2 linked regions of the Elephas maximus indicus genome follow. The protein of the gene in region 1 interacts with the protein of each later gene in a pairwise test. Links are inferred from orthologs where the notes say so. Each region holds a gene or a part of one and is shown on either strand. Other genes may lie near its edges.

Region 1 (9,970 bases):
TCAGTTAGGAGCCAAGCACATAACCACTGCGCCATGAGGGCTCCTTTCCCCTTGACTACTATCCTTCAATCAGTTTCACTTCAAAGGAAGTATCTATTGTCCTTCTGATGTGTCTCCTTCCTTATCTGTATGCTTTCATACATATTTGTGTCTACCTGTAAAAATACATAGTCTTTTAAGTATAGGTCTAAGCATTAATTGCTCTCTTACTGCTTTTATTTTATCTAAGAACTTGTTCTTGAGAGTTTTCAATGTCAATATACAGAGGCATAACTGATTTTAATTTCTGCTTCTAGTCTTCCATAGTATGGGTGCTACACAGTTTATTTAACCACCCGCTTACTAGTGGTGGAAACCCTGGTGGCATAGCGGTTAAGACTTTGGCTGCTAACCAAAAGGTCAGCAGTTTGAATCCACTAGGCGCTTCCTGGAAACCCTATGGGCAGTTTTACTCCTTCTTATAGGGTTGCCATGAGTCGGAATCAACTCGACAGCAGTGGGTTTGGGTTTTACTAGTGATTGTTTCCGTCTTTCTGCTAATACAAACAGTGCTTCGAAGAGCATCCTTTCCACGGCCCTCTGACTATATGAACAAGGGTTGCTATAGGATAAATACGGAAGAGTAGGAGTGTCGACTCATCAGGTTTATGGATTTTTTACAGAAGACATTTCCAAGTCGTCCTGCAAAGTGGCTGTTACAATTCTCCTTCCACCAATGTGTTTGAGGGAATTCATTTGCCCAGTGCTTCCCCAAGACTTGACTTTATTAAACTTTGTAATTTTGTCAGTCTAATGGGGAAAATAAACCTCCGCTAGACTAGAAGCAAAGCCTTGGTGGCACAGTGGTTAAGAGCTCAGGCTGCTAACCAAAAGGTCTAGAGTTCGAATCCACCAGCCACTCCTTGGAAACCCTATTGGGCAGTTCTATTGTGTTCTATAGGGTTGCCATGAGTTGGAATTGACTGGGCAGCAATGGGTTTGATTTTGGCGGGGGGGCGGTGGTTTAGACTAGAAGCAGGGGAGCAGATGCAGCAATTAAATTGAATGAGTAATGTCTACATATATTGACATCGAAAACCCTCAAGAGCAAATCTCCTGGGCTGGGGAGAGATAGTCACCGGCTGCCCGTCTTTGGGTAGGGCCTCTGGGAGGGGGGCCTGGTGCTGTTTCTTCAAGTTTCTGCCAGCTGTCTTTGCGGCCCTGTCTTCCACTTCTCCTTTCAAGGTAACTAGTGCTTCCAATTCCTGAGCATCTCTGGGTTTTGTGTGGAGAATCTGCCTCCTTCTCTTTGGCTTTCCGGCCTACTCTCCTCTGCCCCTCTTCCTAGACCTCCAATTCTAGCTTCAGCTTCTTATGGCCTGCTGTGTTACTTCCTGTTAGTACTACAATTTTAAAATTGTTGTTGACATGCCTCATCTTCTGTGGACTCCTCTTTTCTTCTCTTTAAATATTTCTTAACTGTTATTCTAGCAGGGTTTCAGGAAGGAGCAGAAATTCATGGAGTTATTCGTTCTACCACATTTAATCAACACTGATTTATATCCATATGTCTCTTTCCCCTAGCAGACTGCTAGCCTCTTACAGGCAGGAAAAGGTTATATTTGCCTGTGTCCCAGCAACTATGAGGAGGGGCTAGATACTTGCTGGGTGAATGGAGGAGTGGGTTAGAAAGTGGCTTGGGCGCCTTCTGTTGGTGGTCTGTAGGTAAAGGGATGGCCCCGAGGTAAGGGGATGGTTCCTGGGTAAGGGGTCATTAATTTACAATTTACAGGTTCATGAAGGATTCCACAATTCCACAATATTACTTGTCTCTCCTCCATCTTACAAATGATGCTCTGTTCAAACACATGAATTTGTCTTCTCTGATAGGCTGAACTTTGAGGAGTCTTGCTTGCATGACCCACTGATTGACCAAATAATTGTGTACTAGAGCACGGAGGACAAGCTAGGGCCTTGACAGGTGGTACTGTGCCTCCCTTAACTTGATGACACTTTCCCCAGGGTAGGTAGAGGAGGGCACCTTGACGCCCATCCTGCAAAAGGAGGAATAGCGTCAGTGGTTAGGACTTTTGGGAGTTAAAGATCTGGGCTTGATAGGTGGTGCACTGCTACCTTGTGTGATCTTGGCCAAGTTATCAACCTTTTTGGGTCTCAGTTTTCTTGACAGTAAAATGGGGATGATAATACTTAGCTCACAGGGTTGGTATAAGGATTAATTGACATAATGTATACAGTGTTTAACACAGCAGCTGGCACAATAGATTCTGGCTATCATCATCATCATCACCCTTATCATCACAGTCATTGTCATCATCGCCATCATTACACCATTCCATTCTACCTTGAGACTGGGACTCTCACCCCCAGCTTCTTTCCAGTGGTCCCAACCAGCATCCCATTTCCTCAGTAAACGGATATCTTTGTGAGTGAGAATCAGCATAAAGCTGGTTCCTGAGAGGCAGAGCTCAAGTATATGCCCACTTTCCAACTTCTCCATTATCTCTGACACCAGCTCTCCTCTTAACCCCCACCCACTCACGGCACTTTCTCTGCTGGGTTCGTTCGTTTGCTGGAACACTTCACAGAGCTCATGGACTGTACTTTTGATGAGGTGGTTTATTAGGGTAGAAGGATACAACTCAAATCAGGCTCAGCTCTTATGTGGCCAGAGGCAGACTCGAAAACCCTGGCGATGCAGTCTGTTTTCTGAATGAAAGCAACAGTTTGGTCCCTCGCTTCCATCTCTGGGGAGGGCAGCTCTAGGGACAGACTGTTCTGAGTTCTTCATGGTATCAGAGAAGTGGCCAAAAGCCCATGGCGGAAGGTGGTAGGCACCTGGCTCCTGGCCCAGTACTGTTTCTGGCCAGAGAGTTAGAGTAGGGGATTCTCCCTGATCCCAGCCCACAGTTCTACCTGGGGCTGACTGCCCTTGGAATTGGCATGATAAGATTTTTGGGGAAGGGGACAAAAGAGTTGTGTACAGTTTTATTTTTGTGTATCTGTTTTAGGGCTGTGATTCACACTCAAGATTCCAGGCCATGGGGCTGAGGGTCAACAGGCTGCATGTAAGACTCTGACACTCCTGGCTGTGGACTGCCAGTAAGTCACTGCACTTCTTGGAGCCTCTGTTTATTCATCTATAAAATGGGGACAAGAACATCTTTGCCACCGGGGTTGCCGTGAGGATCCAGTGAGATCTGAAAAGGCTTTGTCAACTGTACCACCCTATTGTCAACTGTACCACCCTATTGTCAATTGTTCTTATGAATCGGGCCCCGGGGAAGGGCCTGGGGCTCCAAGCTCCTCTGGAGTGAGAGAGCTCAGAACCCCTTAATTATCGGGGTAGAATTGTTGGTCCTATTCTTTGTTTCCTAACAGTGTCCCTTCCCAGAACCTCCTATTCGGCCAGAAAAACAAATCCCAGCTGGGGGTTGGTGTGCATAGCAACTATCTGGCTAATCTCCCCCTCCCCAGAGAAGCAGGCCTCCTCTGGGCCAGATAAGGAGTGACTCACTGTCGGGCCAGCCCTGGTGGCTACAATCTTTGTGAAGGCCCCACCGCACCCTGTTTTCAGGGCCGGCCTGGGGTCAAGCCTTCTTCCACCTTTGGGCTCCCGGGACCTACCTGCCATCTTCCTGCAACAGACTCACTATAAACTAGTGCCCAAAGCTGCCACTTCTTAAGGGTGAGGGTGGCTCCTACTGGGTTGGGGGAGCATGTGGGCATTTCCTGTTCATTTCAGGATAACTTGGTGGCTGGAAGACGGTTTGCTGGGGACTTAGGTTTCAGAGGCTAGGGACAAGTCTTCATTTAGTCACAGGTGGCCCAGGTGAGAATATGCAGAGAGGAGGGCTGAGGTGGGACACCCCTTATTTCACAGGGGGGAAACTGAGGCCTGGAGATGGAAAGTGATTGGCCTATCTTCCTAACACCTTCTCAAAAGAGCACAGGGCCTCTGTTCTGAGAGTGGGTGACTGCTCTGACATAGGACAAGAAGGAACCCTGGGGACAATTCTGAGGAGTGGTGAGGTCACTGGAAATAGGACCGGGGGTTGAGGTTGTTGCAGTCCCCCTAACCAGGGGTGTCCAGCAGGGGGCCTGACCCTCCAAACGGGTTAAAAAATGGGGGTGGAATTACTGGATAAAAGAAGGGCTGGGGCTGTGTGTAGTGCAGAGGGGGTCCTTCTTCTACTCTGTTATCACGACTCTTCACTCTGTGGATGAGTACCTTTGCACACGTTCCCTAGCTCCAGTCATTAATCCCTGCACTAGGATGTGGACTCGCTATACCAGGACTCAGGCTTGTAGCCCTCTCTGAGGTGCTCACAAGCAGGGTAGGGACTCCATCTTATTTTTGTCTTTGGGTGGCACGTGCTAAATACCTCATGGGCAAGTTAGTTGCCTCCCTCAGGTTCAGAGTCTTCCTCATGGGAATGTTAGTGAAGCTCAATAAATGTGTGATAATGAATGCTTGCTCCTGAGGCTGAAGGGTAGATGGCTGTTTGGTTGGGGTGAGAATCCCTGAGTAGGGGTCAGCACCCCGGTGGAAGTCAGGCTTGAGCTGGGGTTTGTGAAGGTCCAGTTTACAGCTGCCTGAACGGCTCCCTGCAGCTGTTCCTGGACTGTGCCTATTGTCACCTGGGGGCATTGTATGGCTGCAGCTGGGTGGGGCTGCTTAGCCTCAGGGAGGCCAGGGAGCCTGTGGCTCAGGGCACCCCCACCCGGAAATTGTGCCTTTGTCAGAGAGAACTGACGGGAGTCAAGGGAGAGAGGGCTCTGAGGCTGTTAGTCCAAGTGGGTGTGAGCTTCTGGCCAGTGTACTCTTAGTGGGGGGGGGGGGGGGGAGGGGCGTGGTGGAGTGTATCACAGGGAAGGGGCTCAGAACATGATGTGGGGGGCTCTGAGTGTGTGGTCGCTGGAAGGTGGTGTGGGAGTATAATCTCAACCCCCTCCCCCCCCCCAAAAAAATCTCAAGGGGCCTGTAATTCTTGTGGGGTGACAAACTCTGGGCTTCTTAATGGGTGAAGGTCAGAATGGGAATTCCGGGGGAGGAGGGAGGGATCCAGAATGTGATGGGTGTGTGCTGGGGTAGGTGGGGTCAGCTCTTGCGGAGGGCAGGGGCCTCTAATCTCTGGGAGGGGTGAGTTGGGGCAGAGCCGCCAGCCACTGGCCAATGGGGAGAGGGCCCATATTTGCACACAGGAGCCTGCGAATTCCTCGGGGCTCAGATGTCCGCCTCTGACACCATTCCCCCTCCCCCTTTCAGCCCGCCGGGGCATAAAAGGCGCCAGGTGAGGGCCTCGCCACTCCTCCTGCCGACCGCAGCTCCTAGGGCCAGCGACTTCTGCATCCTCCGTTTCGCCATGACTTCTTACAGCTATCGCCAGTCGTCCGCCACCTCGTCCTTCGGGGGCCTGGGCGGCGGCTCCGTGCGCTTTAGTGGGGGCGGTGCCTTCCGCGCGCCCAGCATCCACGGGGGCTCGGGCGGCCGCGGCGTGTCGGTGTCGTCCGCCCGCTTCGTGTCCTCGTCCGCCTCCGGGGGCTATGGCGGCGGCTATGCGGGCGCCCTGGCCGTGTCCGACGGGCTGCTGGCGGGCAATGAGAAGTTCACCATGCAGAACCTCAACGACCGCCTGGCTTCCTACCTGGCCAAGGTGCGCGCCCTGGAGGAGGCCAACGGCGAGCTGGAGGTGAAGATCCGCGACTGGTACCAGAAGCAGGGCCCCGGGCCCTCCCGCGACTACAGCCAGTACTACCAGACCATCGATGATCTGCGGGACAAGGTGGGCACTTGTCGGGCCGCGGCAAGTGCACCTGCCGTCGGGGAAACCCAGCCCCGCGGGCCGGGCGAGGCCGGAGCGGGGCGGGAAGGAGCCCGTTAGGGAGTGGGAGTGCCCGCAGGGCGGGGCGGAGAGCTGGGGGCAGGGGAGGGACAGCACGGGAGGAGGGAGGGCAGGGAGTGAGGACCGGGTGGCTGGGAGGGGCGGGGACTTGGGCGGGCGGGGTAGGTGGGTGGGGCCTGTAGAAGGCGGGGGGCGGGGCCGGTGAGGCTGAGGAAAGGGGGTGCTAGGAGTGGGAGGAGATGGGGCGCGCGTGTGGTCTGCTCAGTGGCCAGGCCAGAGGCCGCGGCAGCAACAGGGAGATGCAAGAGTTAGGGCTCCCTCCTCCCCCCTCCCGGGCCTGACGGGCTCCCTGCAGTCCCCGGTGTGAGGTCTCTGTATTCCTTTTCTCTGGCCTGCTGGGTCGGCTTCCATCAGCGTCAGGCCAAAGCCCCTCCTCCGCTGCCCAGGGGGCCATGCTGGGCCTAAGAGGCGCTCGGAGAATGGGAGAGGCCAGCTGTGGCCCCTGGGCAGGGTAAAGAAGGGACTTTGCAGAGGCCGCGGGTCCTTTTCTGTGAAGACCTCTGTTGGGGAGAACCAGGTGCAGCAGGGGCTGTCTGACCTGTGGGGTGGGGAGCCCTGGGCTGGATTCCAGGAGTCAGAGCCACAGGTTCTTAAACCTGTATCTTAAGGGGCGTCAGGGGTGGGCTTGGTCACCGCCTACAGGGAAGAGCTGTGTCCTGAAGAAATGTATCAGGAGCCAGTGGGATATTTAACCACCCCCCTGCTGGATGTCTGAACAGGCAGTTCCCAGCAACATTTCCCATGGCCCAGCAGGCACCGGGCCCGGGGCTGGGTGCCTGGGATAAGAACAGACCCAGGGGAAAGTGAGGAGAGCCGAGATAGAAACAGCCAACTAGAAGAGTGCTTCACACACTTTTAAAACTGTTACCTCCAGTAAGAAAGAAGTTTTACTGTGCACACTCACACATTTATCGTTGCTCTATCACACACACAATGGAGGCAAAAGTCTTGAAACAATTCTCATTCTACAGTGGGTGATGCCCTCCGATATTTTATATTTCTGGCCCTTTTTTTGTTAAAAAAATGATGCAGAAAACAGAACAAAACAAACAAACAGGCAAACAAAAACTGATGCAGACCATCACCCGGTACATTAACTAATGAGTCACGACTGGCTCTTTGGAACCTAAGTATCTAAGAACACTAATCGATGATAGGCTGGATGATGCCAATAGGCCCCCTCAGGTCCGAGAGCACTGTGGTCAAATCTCGCCCTGCCGTTTACTAGTGAGGTGAACTTGGACAAAGTACCCTGAATTTCAGTTTCCTTTTCTTTAAAATAGGAGTATCCACTGACCTGGCAGTGAAGTTCCATAGGCTGGAAGATGAGGTGCAAAGTGCCTGGGATATAATAACCAAAACCAAACCTGTTGCTGTCGAGTTGATTTCAACTCATAGTGACCCTATAGGACAGAGTAGAACTGCCCCACAGAGTTTGCAAGGAGCCCCTGTTGGATTTGAACTGTTAACCTTTTGGTTAGCAGCCATAACACTTAACCATTACACCACTTTGATGCTCAAAAAATGGAATTTTCTTCCCTGAGGGCAGAATGTGGCTTAAGGGGGGAGTGCCAACAAAGAAGTAAGCCCTTGATGCTGCCCTTGCCCCGTTCCCCCCTTGCTTCCCTGCGTTGGGTTTATAGATCACTAGAGGTTGCCTCCCTTAAGGGCATGCAAGTGTCCCTGGGCACAGGTCTCTCCCTAGGCTATCCTTCTGTCCTCCCCTCACCATACACCTCCCCGTTGGCCAGCCCCTGCCTCCCAGGCGGCACTTGCTCTTGATCCAGCTCCTGGGCGTGGAGTCCACAGCCACCCAGAGAGCAGGCCAATGGGCAGCCGATGGGTGCCAGGGGCCCTGGTGTCTAGGGAATGGGGGGGTATATTCATTTACTCCTCTCTTTCCTCTGGGAAGAAAGTGGGTGCGCAGTGTTTATATGCTGAACGGGTGCCAACCTCTTGCTTGCTGCCTTCCAGATTCTTGCTGCCACCATTGAAAACTCCAAGATTGTCCTACAGATCGACAATGCCCGTCTGGCTGCAGATGACTTCCGGACTAAGTGAGTGTCTGCACTGGGGGCATCCGGGAGCCAGGGCAGGGTGAGGGCCAATCCCAGGCCCGTGTGGGGCTCAGCGCAGTGGGGTCTGGACTCTACCTCACCCACCCCAGCTGGCCTGGAGAAACCGCCCCCATGGATTTCTGAACTCTGGGAGGTGGGGTCGTCCTCAGAGGTACAGGGGTAACCTGGTCTGGCTGCACCTGTTTCTTCTGAAAGATTTGAGACGGAGCAGGCCCTGCGTCTGAGCGTGGAAGCCGACATCAACGGCCTGCGCAGGGTGCTGGATGAGCTGACCCTGGCCAGGACCGACCTGGAGATGCAGATCGAAGGCCTGAAGGAGGAGCTGGCCTACTTGAAGAAGAACCATGAGGAAGTGAGTTTTAGGCTGGGCCTTCCCATCCTGCCCCAGCTTCCCAGGGCTGAGGACATTTTTCTACCCTGGATTCCCTGAGCTTGGCTATACTTGCTGCACCCTCGGCATGGCTCCTGGGGTTCCAGCAGGGGAGCGTGGTGACCCAGCTTATTCCACAGTGGTGGCTCCTGGGTCTACACCTGAGAACCAGTCCCATCTGGCCTGGGCTGAGCCAGGGGAGGAGGGTGACCTGGCCCAGGCCCAGTAGGCTCAGGGTCCTGACATGCCCATCTCTTCTGTCTTTCCAGGAAATCAGTGTCCTGAGGGGCCAGGTGGGTGGCCAGGTCAGTGTGGAGGTGGATTCTGCTCCGGGCATCGACCTTGCCAAGATCCTGACCGACATGAGAAACCAATATGAGGTCATGGCCGAGAAGAACCGGAAGGATGCTGAAGCCTGGTTTATCAGCCGGGTATGGAGGGGAAGCAGGTGCCCTTGGGGAGGGGGCAAGGAGAGAGGGCTTGATGCCCCTTGCCCCCGCAGCCAAAGGTCTGTCTGAATGCCTGTTCCTCCCTCCGCTTGTTGTAGACCGAGGAGCTGGACCGGCAGGTCGCTGTCCACACAGAACAACTCCAGATCAGCAAGACGGAGGTGACTGACCTGCGGCCCAAGCTCCAGGGCCTGGAGATTGAGCTACAGTCACAGCTGAGCATGGTATGTGCCCCAGACCCCGTGGGAGCCTCGTGGTGGGGTGGCTGTGCCTTCTTTGGGGACAGGGCTCTGCAGAGTCATGGTCCTCCTTTTTCCTGCCCTCAGAAAGCTGCCCTGGAAGGCACGCTGGCGGAAACGGAGGCCCGCTTCGGGGCCAAGCTGGCGCAGATCCAGGCGCTCATCAGCAGTATTGAGGCCCAGCTGAGCGAAGTGCGTGCTGACACCGAGCGGCAGAATCAGGAGTACCAGCAGCTCTTGGGGATCAAATCACGGCTGGAGCAGGAGATTGCCACCTACCGCAGTCTGCTCGAGGGCCAGGATGCCCTGCCCCTCATCAAGGCCTACTGAGTCCTGGGCTTCCTGCCCTCCTGCAGAGGGATCCCTCCGGGCAGGGGTAGAGAAGGGAAGGAACCCTTGACCCTGTTTCTTCCCCCAGAACTGCCAATAAAACTTTATGGAAAGACATTTGGTTTGTTCTTTCAGCCCATGGGGTGGACCAGGCCTTGGCTCTAGTTAGATTTTATTTGGACCAAGGTCCATCCTGTCCCAGGAAAGGGAAGGGAGTGCACTCACATACTGTTCCTGTAATTCCTGTTTGCAGTGGTCTTCATTTATCTAACCTGTTCCTTACGACAACTCTGAAATAAGCAGTGTACCCATTTTACAGAGGGGTAAACTAAGGCTTAGAAAGGTGAAATGGTTGGTTGTATTTTTTATATAATATACTATATCCAGCACATGGCAAAGATGGGATGGTTTTTGCTTGCAGATTTGGTTTTTTTTTCCATTGTGCTCTCCTGAGAGTTGGTGACTACATGTGTGGAATTGACTTTTATTGACTACTATGTGCTATTTAATCAAAACAACCCTTAGAGGCAGTTAGTTTGAGCTGCATCTTATAGATCAAGAAATGGGCTCAGAGAGGTTAAGTAACTTGTCCAAAGCCACA
Region 2 (9,922 bases), on another chromosome or scaffold:
GTGCAAGATCTATAAACGTAACCTCGACAAATACTAGTACACTATTACACGATCCCTTTAACTATAGCAATTGCTACCAGGAAAAAGTAGGAATGGTGCGTGGATAAGTCTCACCATTATTAACGAGCAAGACACAGAGATGGCCTGGAATGTACAAGAAGCCACCATTAGAACTTCTCTTGAAAGTGGGGGCAGAAAATGACCTCTCTGTGCAACCAAAATAGTAACATTAAAAAAGTGTTACAAGTTAGATTGCAAGTGCTCTTGGGCCCAGCACCTGAACTAAACACAGCTAGTGCCACCTGGAGGTCAATGTGCAAACTACAACGGTGGTACTGTACACCTGGGGAAACCCTTTAATTTACACCTCCCCAAGTAAAATCTGACGCCCAAGTCCACCATCCTCCAGTCACAGAGTTAAAGCCTAGAAGGCAGAAACTACTCACTTCTACCAGATGGTTGTCTGGCCCATACAGGTCTTTGTCCAGTTCAATCACGAGGGATTTAAAAAAGGAAGAGAACTTTCTCTTTTGTTTGGTGGCATCATATTTGGACAAGGCTGACTAGAGGAGAGGAGAGGAGAGCTCATGTTAGAATAGATCAGAAGAAACTTCCCAAGACAAAGTTCCATAGAAAAGGAACCCACAACAGCAATGGCAAAACATTCAGAAATATCTTCTAAATAGCTCTTAAACCAGTCACGGTAGCAATGGAACCCTGGAGAAGCAGCCTGTAATATGCACTGGGTCACTGACTTACCCACCTCATTTCCCCACGGGAAATGAGGCTAGTTAAGCCAAATCATTGCATATAACAACAAAGCAAGTCTGAACAAAGGAAAGCCTGACTCTAGAGGGGCAATTAATCACAGGCAATAAGCACCCAGAACAAAAAACAGCTTTATTTGGATGGAATGACAACATCAGCAGATGGACTGGACTCATATAGAGAAGAAGAAGCCTCTGATACCAAGCCCTGGTTCTCCTACAAACATGCATTCAAATAAGCTTGCCTGTGAAAATCTAAAAATAGAGAGCTACAAAGTATAAGGGAATGAGAGAAAGGTGAGCTTCCCCAAGGAGCCGCTAGAGTGGGAAGTTTGGGGGCTACCACCTGTCAGCTGATGCTCCTTATGAAATGACAAGAGCCTGCCAGAGAAATCTATCTCACTTTAACAGCGAGGTGTCTCCAATAAAAGCTGGGAAAAAGGGAGATGCCTCAATAGGAATCAAGGACCTCAACGACTCAAGAGAGGAAATCATGGCTTCAAATGCCAACTGCAGACTCACTTGATTAAAAATAAATTAAAAAAAAACTAAAGTATTCTGCAGATACTGATAAATCCAATGGCCAGCAGCACCAGGAAGAACGTAAACAACAAATCAGATCCTAGGACAATATGGTTCTCGATATGCTACCACAGTGAGGGCCAAAGCTGTGGGAGCCAGACACAAAGAACCATTGTCTTCCAGTGCAGGGAACAGAGTTCCCCTCTCCCTGCTGCTCCCAACAGGAATTGTAAGCACCGGTCAGGCTTCCTGCTGACCAGACAACACTGCTTGTTCCCCACAGCTCCCACCCTAGACACCGACCACCATTGACCTTGAACTCACATCCTCCAGGAGCCGTCCTTCTACCCGAAGCTCCCAGGAAGCCACCGTCCCTTCCCCATCCTCGGCATCTGACTTAGCCGGATTGAAAGTGTTAGAAATGAAAATTCGCAGCTTCCGTTTTTGCTGAGGAAGGCAGAAACAGGATTGATGGCGGGGCTTCAGTGGTCTGATGCTGAAGGCTAGGGTCTCCCCAAACCCCAAAATTACTCCTAACATCTGGCTTACTGTCTATCCAGTCCCTGGGGTGGGTGAATGGAGAGTCCACCGAGAAGGGGAGTACAGGCCACTGATCTGAGCGTTGAGTGCATACACTGGGATAAAGTCATGCAGGGTGCCAGATCCCAAAGGCAGCAAAGCAGTTGTAACAAAAACATGGACAGGATGTATTTCTGGTGCTAGGGACATGAAAAGTTCCTCCCCCTCGCTGTTCTGTTCTTATGCTCCTAATGTAATTCTCAGTTTGTAGGCGGAAGGGAGAGATGCAATTTAAATGCCAAGGAGAGCTGTGCTGCGCCTTTAATTTCTCATGCTAAGCCTGCTGAAGGTTCCCGAGTCCTTTCCTTCAGCTCTCTGCCTAGCGCTCTCCTGCATTACCTTGATGGGACGTTTCAAGGCCTCCTGGATATCTAGCCGTTTCCTCATGATAGTCTGATCCAGCTTCCTTTCAAAAGCCAAGAGATCCATATAGGCCTGAGATTCTGGTACCAGTTCACGAATCTTAGGAACAGAAAGATATAATTGGCATCTAGAGCTGACCATCTCTATTCTCAAACTCACTACACTCTCAGGGAGATCTACAGCCTGGACTCACCCTTTGAGGTAGAATTTTGTCAGCCATCTTCTTTTTCTTTGCACTGTATGGAATAAATACTGTTATGAGGTTGGGATGGCACTAGTCAGAACATGAAAACAAGCTGTCAGCATCTCCATTTATATAAAGTGGAGGGGCTGCAAAGCTTCTCTCAAGTCAAAGAACCCCCTTGCCTCCAAGCAGCATGAGGCATTCTCAGAATGAGTTCCCCAGCACGCACCAGGCTGCTGACACAGCACCACCACTTCTTGGTTCACAGTACTCCCACCTGTGTCCTCACAGACCTCTTCCCTCCCTCCCTCTGCCCCAGGGTCATCTTACTTGTGGTTTCGATTTTGGACTGCCTGTTGCTGGACCTGCTGGATCTGCTGAGGCGCAGGTCTCTTGCGGGACTGATCCATCCCTGACTGGGCCAGGCCAGGTCGGACTGAAGGGTTCCCCCCATAGCCAGGAGGTCCCATGGAAGGTCCCTGAGGTGTCATTCGGCTGCCTGGCAGCATACCTGGTCTCTATGGAGGGGAGAAGACCCAGAGATGTCACGGCCTTCCTTGCTAACTTCATCCGGAAAGGGAAAGTTCGGCGTGCCTGAGTTCTTTGAACAAAACAGGACTGGGGTGTGGGGTGGAGGAAAATGAGGCGAGAGCCCTCTGACTCTTTGAAATATGGGCAACTTAGGTTTCCTCCACTCCAATCATGGTTCCACAGAATACAGCCAACTTATACTAAAATTCTCCCCAATCTATTTTGGATCTGACAGATCAAACATCTCTAGTCCCACACTGACTCTGCCAGCTATTATTTCCGTAAACGCTGACCCCAATTTACCAGCTCTACCTTCTGTCTTCCTCTGGGCACTGGAGCTGCTCCAGCCTCTCTGCACTCCAGACCTCAAATGCCCACCCCTAGTGGCCCCACTTCATCCACGCTGATCCTATAACCTTACTTCCTACGGAAACAATGCCCCTAGCAGCAGGTGGGGATGCTAACTGCTCCCCCTACTTTCCTCCCAACTGCCTTCCCCACCCCCATCCCCACCCCGGGCCTGAATCTTTCCAGGAGAGTCCCTCCTACTTCTCCCCGCACCCTTGTCACTCCCAGGCCCCCGCTCGGCCCCGCCCCCGGCCCGCGCGCCCCTCCTCCTGCCCCACTCACCGGATAGGCCGCTCCGGGCATCGGGGAGCGGTACAGCCCTTGACCCGGCGCCGGGCCCATTCGCACTGGGGGCCCCGGAGTCCCACCCGGGCCCAGGGTGGCCGCCGCGCCCGCCCCTCCTGAGGCTCCGGCGCCGCCGCTCGGGGCCACCGACTGGAAACCCGCCCGGGCCGCCATCTTCTCTGGAGCCGCCGCAGCAGCTGCACAAAGAACCGGAACCGGAACTCCCCCCGCCCCTTGCGCGCCCCCCGAGCGCCCGCCTGTCAGCCCGGCCAGCCGGCCGGCTCGGGAGGCTTAGGGCAGCAAGACTGTGGGCTAGAGTGGGGGGGACCAGCGGAAAAGGCTGCGCTGACCACTCCCTCCCGCCTTCATGGTCCAGGGTCGAAAACCATAGAGACGAACTCTAGGCTAGAGAGGCCCTGAGAGAGGGCGCCCCCAGGCCGACCGGAGGAAGAGAAAGACCTGGAGAGGGCACTCACAGACCCTGCCCTAAGCCTCTGAAGAGGGTGGCGGAGTAAATGCTTCATTTTGGCGCAGTACTTTTAACTTTCCAAAGCGCTTTGATTATCTTCCGTTTCATTCCCTTACCGCTATAACTCTGGGGGGCTGAGGAGAGGAACGCACTGTTTATTCCATTTTGCAAACGGGAAAATTGAGCTCAAAGAGGGTAAATGACTTGGCAAAGGTCAACCAGCAAGTTACAGCAGAGTCATTCCTAGGATCCAGATCTCTTGGCTCCTAGCCCGTAGTTCATTCCACGGATAAAAAATAAAGTGCCTTAATAACCACCTCACACTGGAACTTCAGCCCAACTTTGTCCCTGACCTTTAACCTAACTCGTTCCAGATTTAACATTCCAGTGTATCTTGAATTTTGATCCAGCTCTTCAAGGAATCCTTTGTGGTGGAGCTTCTCTTTGAGGTCTTTGTTGCTTTTGACCCCTCCCTCTCTCCCTGCCCAGTATTGTAGTTCAAACTAGTTCAAACCATTCCCTCGTGATGGTCAGCCTGCCCCATCCCAAGAGCATCAGGACCTCCCAATCAAACCCTCTCCTTACTCTTCATTCTGATTGGCCCCAAGCTAAGGTCCAGTGCTAAGCACTTCATGGGAAGACCTAACTACCTTTCAAATAAGTGAAGAACAACACTGAAGAGGAGATGGTTGAAACCCAGTTTATTAGACCAGACGCATGCGTCACGCAGAGTCCCGCCTGCTGTTCCCCCATCCACTGCACACTTCTTGGCCTTGCTACTGTTTCCCTTTGGGGAGGTCTGGTCTCTAAGCAACTCCTACAAACAAAGAGTTCCCAAAGATCCGACAGCCTTACTCACCAACTCCAGGCCAATGCACAGGTGACCTGCCCACAGATCCTGTCCTGGGGTTGGAGACCCAGAGACAGTTGAGCAGAAAACACCTAGGAAGGGATTGGGACTCTGGCCTGGGAGGAATGCCTGGGACAGGGGGTGGGGGGTGAGGGAGGCAGGCCCTCTCCATCACTCATCTCTCATTAAGGAGAGAGGAACAGAACAGCAAAGCTTTCAACTCCCCCTCTAGGCCTGTCTCTTTCCTCCTACTACCAAAGCCCACCTCGCCAGAAAATATGAGTGGTAGGCTTGGGTATGAAGAGAGAGAAAGGGGTTGGGCACCCAGAAGGAGGAAAAGGCCACTGACTGGGGACCTTCCTTTCTGCCTGTTTACACCCTGCTGCCCAGTTGCGAGAGTTACCAATCCCCAGCTCCCTTTTGTATCTGAAAAAAGGCTGCCAGCTTGGGAAAAGTTCTTCTTGGCTTAATTTCCAGAGCAGTCTTCATCTCCTGGGTAAGGACTATCTCTGTTACAACCCCTTCCCTGGGGAGGCTGCAGTCAGCCAGGCAAAGGGCATTGGGGTGGATGGAGCAGGGGACGGGAATGTTAAGGCTGCAGGGAGGGCAGAGGGTGCCCAGAATAGGGGGAGAGGGTGAGGCCAGAAAGAGGCAGAGCTTGTGATTCACAGCTTCCTTTATGTCGCCACCAAGACAGTGCGAAGGTTACAATGCGCGTGTCGTCTCCTTGTGCTTCTCAGAGGGATGTGTGTACACAGTACAGACACCAGGGGAGAGAGTCCAACTCTTTATACAGGCGAAGGCATTCAGAGACCAGGGAGGAGGCAGAGACACACAAGGGGGATCTTGGGGCGGGTGGTTCTCAGAGACAAGAGGGGATGGGGTGGAGACAGACAAGGTTGGGGGAAGTATATACAGAGATATAGCAATATAGAGTCTGTATCATATAGAAATAGAAAATGCAGATGAGGTTGTTGAGAGAAGCAAATGGAGTTGGGGAAGCAGACTTGGGGGAGTTCCATAAGAAAATTTATGGATGTGGCCCTCTGCAGGGGCCCCTGGGAGACGGACCAGTGAGGTCAGGCACCAGTGCTCCTCTCCCTGAGCTGGAAGCCAACCAGCGGGGTCTTTTATGGGACAGTGGAGGCTGTCTCTTGGGATTTCTCTCCAGCAGCTACAGCTCTGGGGTGAGGGTGAGCTTGTAGGTATCAGGATGTGGCCTACAGCACCAGGGCCACACCTTGCCCCCATATCTACTTCTTCAGTGAATCCCCCCACCCAGCCCCCTAAAGACTCCACATGGTGTGAGGGGATGGGACTGGGGTCTTAGATCCTGCCCAGAGACTTGGGGTTGGGTAGGTCACTGGGCTGAGAGGGTCGCTTAAGGCTGGGGAAGCTCCCTTCCACTAGCCCTCCCCCTCAAGGTACATTCTCTGGTTTCAGGAAAACTACAGACCCCGGGGGGAATCCCCTCCACCCCCCACTGGGAGAGGACTTTGGTGACTGGTGGCAGCAAATGTAGGTGGACACTCAGATGACAGACAGCCAGACAGACAGAATTCAGGCTGGGAGCTGGGGGAGGCAGCATGGGGCAGAGAGGGGCAGCCTAAGGTCCCTTGCCCCTTTCTCTCTTTTTAGTGTCTCTTAGATTAGTTTTGTTAAAAATTAAAAGAATGGAATAGAGGCAGGGAGAAGACCCTAAGGTCAAGACTCCTTCCTCACCACAGACAAGAAGAAAGGACTGCCTAGGAATGGGGGGCTGCCCTTAGAGTGGGGGGTGAGTCCCCAAGACAGATGGGGCTAGCAGGCCCCGTTGCTCTTCTAGCCCTCCCCATCTAGGCCTTTGGTACAGTGGCCTGCAGGGCTCAGCAGGTAAAGTCTTCAAACGTGCCTCGGGCCGGATGGTGAGGTAGGATGTTGGCAGCGTAAGTCATTCCAGCAGGATGGCCACGGAGGCTCTCGCACGGGTTCTAGGGGAAGGGCACAGGATAGGGACTGGTTATCGGAAGGGCCACAGGGGGCTCTGGGGCGTGGGGGAGGGAAAGGAGAGAAGAGGCCAAGGGCGGGGTGGCTGGTCCTGGGGTGGTGGGGGAGGAAGGCGGTGGGGAGGGCGCCCCTCGCTTGCTCCCTCACGTGTCTCTTGACGTCATCCAGGCTGAGGGCCACGCCCTTATCGGCACTACTCCTTTTGGCTTCCTTCTGACACTTCCCTCGTCGGCACAGCTTGTGCTTAATGACCTGCAATGGGGGTGCAGCGTGGGGGTGGGTGGGCTGGAATCCCGCCCCCGTGGCCCCGGCCCCGGGCCTCCCAGCCGGCTCACCTCATAGGCGTAGTCAAAGAGCTCCAGCACCGTGAGGATGCTGGCGCCGATGAACAGCCCCATCTGGCCCCCAATGTCACCTGCAGGAGCGGCGGGGAGGTCAGTGGGGTCCGGACACTTTGGAGGCCAGCCGGGCTCACTGGGACAGGGGTGGGCAGGTCGTATTCGCAAGGGGATTGGTAGCCTTCGTACAGAAGGAGCGCAAAGCCAGATTCTAGAGGGATTTTTCTTTTCTTCCCATAATGGTTAAGTCCTACGGCTGCTGACCAAAGGGTCGGCAGTTGGAATCCACCAGGCGCTCCTTGGAAACTCTATGGGGCAGTTCTACTCTGTCCTATATACGCTATGGGTCGGAATCGACTCGATGGCACTCTTTTTTTTTTTTTTATGCTTTTCTGCATTTTTCTACTTTTCTAGAACAGGTAATATTTCAGGAAAAACAATTGTTTACAAAATAACCGAACACTCTCAGTGTCTGGGCCAACTTTCAGGGATATGTACGATAGTCCCACATCCACCCCTTGCCCGGCGCTCATGGACATAGGCCTGTCTCTAAAAGAAGCCTTGGAGCCCTGGTGGCACAGTGGTTAAAGCAATGGACTGCTAACTGAAAGGTCGGCAGTTGGAAACTACCAGCCTCCCTGCAGGAGAAAGATGTGGCAGTCTACTTCTGTTGAGATTTACAGCCTTGGAAACCCTATGAGGTCAGTATGAGTTGGAATCGACTTGACAGCAGTGGGTTTTTGGACGAGAAGTGTCAGCCTCCTCTTCTCACCACATACTGAGACAATAGGATTTGGGGAAAGGCCCCTAGGGGTGGGGGAGCCTCCTGTGACAGAGGTAAGCACCCTGCTTTGGGTGGTAGGGGCCAGGCCATGTCCGTAGCACTGGAAGGGAACAGGTGCCATCAGTAGCTCACCCAGGAGCCCTGCAATCTCATAGGCCTTCTTCTGCTCAATGGTCTCATAGTTGAGGACTTCAAAGAAAATGTCCAGCACCAGGATGTTCTCCCTGCAGTGGGGTTGGGGGAGGAGACCTAGGTTCAAGTCATATCTCTGTCCCTTACTAATTGGGTGACCTTAGCAAGTTAACCTCTCAGAATCTAAGTCTCCATATCTATAAAATGAGATGCTAATGGAGCTACCTGCTTTGTGGGGTTGCTGAGGGTTAAAGGATATGTTCTGTACAAAAAGATACTATGCGCACTGGGAAGTGTGAACTGATCACACTTACAGCAGTGAGGATGAAGATAGAAGACCAAGCAGGGAGTGGGGAGAAAGGGGCTTTCCTCCTGCTTATTCTGACTTGATCTTCCCTCTATACCCACCCCAGTCTCTTTGGGCCTTCCCCATGTCATCTCAGCTTCCTCCTGCCTGTCTCCCATCAGACCCCTCATACCCTTCATAGTCCCCAGCTTAAGGTCACAGTCAGAGCCCTTACCCTATGTACTGCTCAGACTTGTTGAATTTTTTGGCCAGGTACTTGGCTGAAGCTTTGCTGGGGATCTTGACCATGGACAGCTCCTTGCCGTAGCGGGTCAGGTTGCAGGGCATTTCGCACACGCAGTACTCCTGGTCCTTTTCCACCAGGAAATCTGCACCCGAGCCAGGTGGGAGGCGCCAGTTGAGTGGTGGTCTTCTCCCAGCACCTTGCCCAAGGGAACCCTAGGCCCCCCGTCTCTTTTCCTGCCCTTCACCTCAGCCGGGTGGCCACCCATTGCTGATCCTCTCCCAGCCTCCCCATGAGTATTTCTTAATTCTAAATCTCATTCCTTCAAGTCCCTGCAGGGTCAACCACCTGAGGTGCTGATGAGTGGGGGTGAGGGCCCCTCCCAGGTGACCCCACTAATTTTTCATAGGGGCCTTCTGTAATGCTGTTCCCTGCCTTGTTAAAGGGGAGGGTGAAGCCTGGTCCAGGAGTTATTTGAAGTCTCTGGGAGCTTGGTCTGAAATATCTGCGTATGTGGCTGGCAGCACCTCCTTTCCTCCCCTAGACTGTCCAGCGCAGGGGCACTTACCCAGAGCAGGATCTGCACACTCCTTATACTGCTCTGGAGTGCAGTATGGGGCATCCCCTACAGGGGAGAAAAGACAGTGTTGCAGGGCGGAGATTAAGGGAGTCTTTTTTTTGTAGTGGTGGTAGTGCCAAAGGCCTAGAATATAGAAGCTTATAGAGGATGAGAGGGTAGAACTAGCCCAACTCCCTGTCTGTCCTGAGCTGAACCCCCCCCCCCCCCCCGCCACACACACATACAGTCTATCCCTCCTGGACCCTTCCCACCCATTCTTGTGGACTCAATCCTTCCCCATTACAGGCAGGAATTAAGGCCAGAGAGACGAAAGCCAGATTGGTATGGATTGAGGCTGGAAATGGGGTAGGGAGAAGCCAGCTGGTCTTGCTTCCAGGTTGGCAGGAGGTTGATGGATGAGAAGCTGATGAAGGGCGGGGCAGGCTAAGGGGCCCTAGGACTGTGCTCGGAGCTCTGTGGCCTGACCTGGCATGTGTACCATACGGCAGTTGCAATTCTCCACCAGGTAGCGCGTCTCACAGTCAATGCGGCAGGCGGTGATACTGTAGGAGTCGAAGAAATCCGAGTCCATGGTAACAGCTTTGCAGGTGCCCCAGGGTGGGGGCAGATAGATGAGCTGCTGGGAGAGCCAGGGAGCTGGGGGGGAGGATGTGGGGACTTCTCCCAAGTCTCCT

What was found.
Region 2: the proteins of keratin, type I cytoskeletal 15 (region 1) and SMARCD1 interact in binary tests that used the Homo sapiens proteins (3 or more experiments, as listed by UniProt). The two-hybrid records come from large-scale screens. The link is inferred for Elephas maximus indicus from reciprocal best matches to the Homo sapiens genes KRT15 and SMARCD1.

Annotation. Positions count from the first base shown.
Region 1 is NC_064837.1:48,602,758-48,612,727, reverse strand, and holds the start of keratin, type I cytoskeletal 15, read left to right. Parts: upstream 1-5,182; 5' UTR 5,183-5,228; coding exon 5,229-5,573; coding exon of another isoform or gene 5,574-5,783; intron 5,784-7,877; coding exon of another isoform or gene 7,878-7,960; intron 7,961-8,176; coding exon of another isoform or gene 8,177-8,333; intron 8,334-8,620; coding exon of another isoform or gene 8,621-8,782; intron 8,783-8,898; coding exon of another isoform or gene 8,899-9,024; intron 9,025-9,126; coding exon of another isoform or gene 9,127-9,369; exon of another isoform or gene 9,370-9,480; intron 9,481-9,970.
Region 2 is NC_064822.1:105,497,228-105,507,149, reverse strand, and holds the start of SMARCD1 (SWI/SNF-related matrix-associated actin-dependent regulator of chromatin subfamily D member 1), read right to left. Parts: upstream 3,981-9,922; 5' UTR 3,754-3,980; coding exon 3,577-3,753; intron 2,934-3,576; coding exon 2,746-2,933; intron 2,468-2,745; coding exon 2,425-2,467; intron 2,331-2,424; coding exon 2,208-2,330; intron 1,737-2,207; coding exon 1,614-1,736; intron 564-1,613; coding exon 447-563; intron 1-446. Other genes in the region: ASIC1 (acid-sensing ion channel 1), read right to left, coding at 6,764-6,868, 7,032-7,136, 7,220-7,299, 8,139-8,230, 8,660-8,813, 9,237-9,293, 9,714-9,864. UniProt on the Homo sapiens protein: Involved in transcriptional activation and repression of select genes by chromatin remodeling (alteration of DNA-nucleosome topology).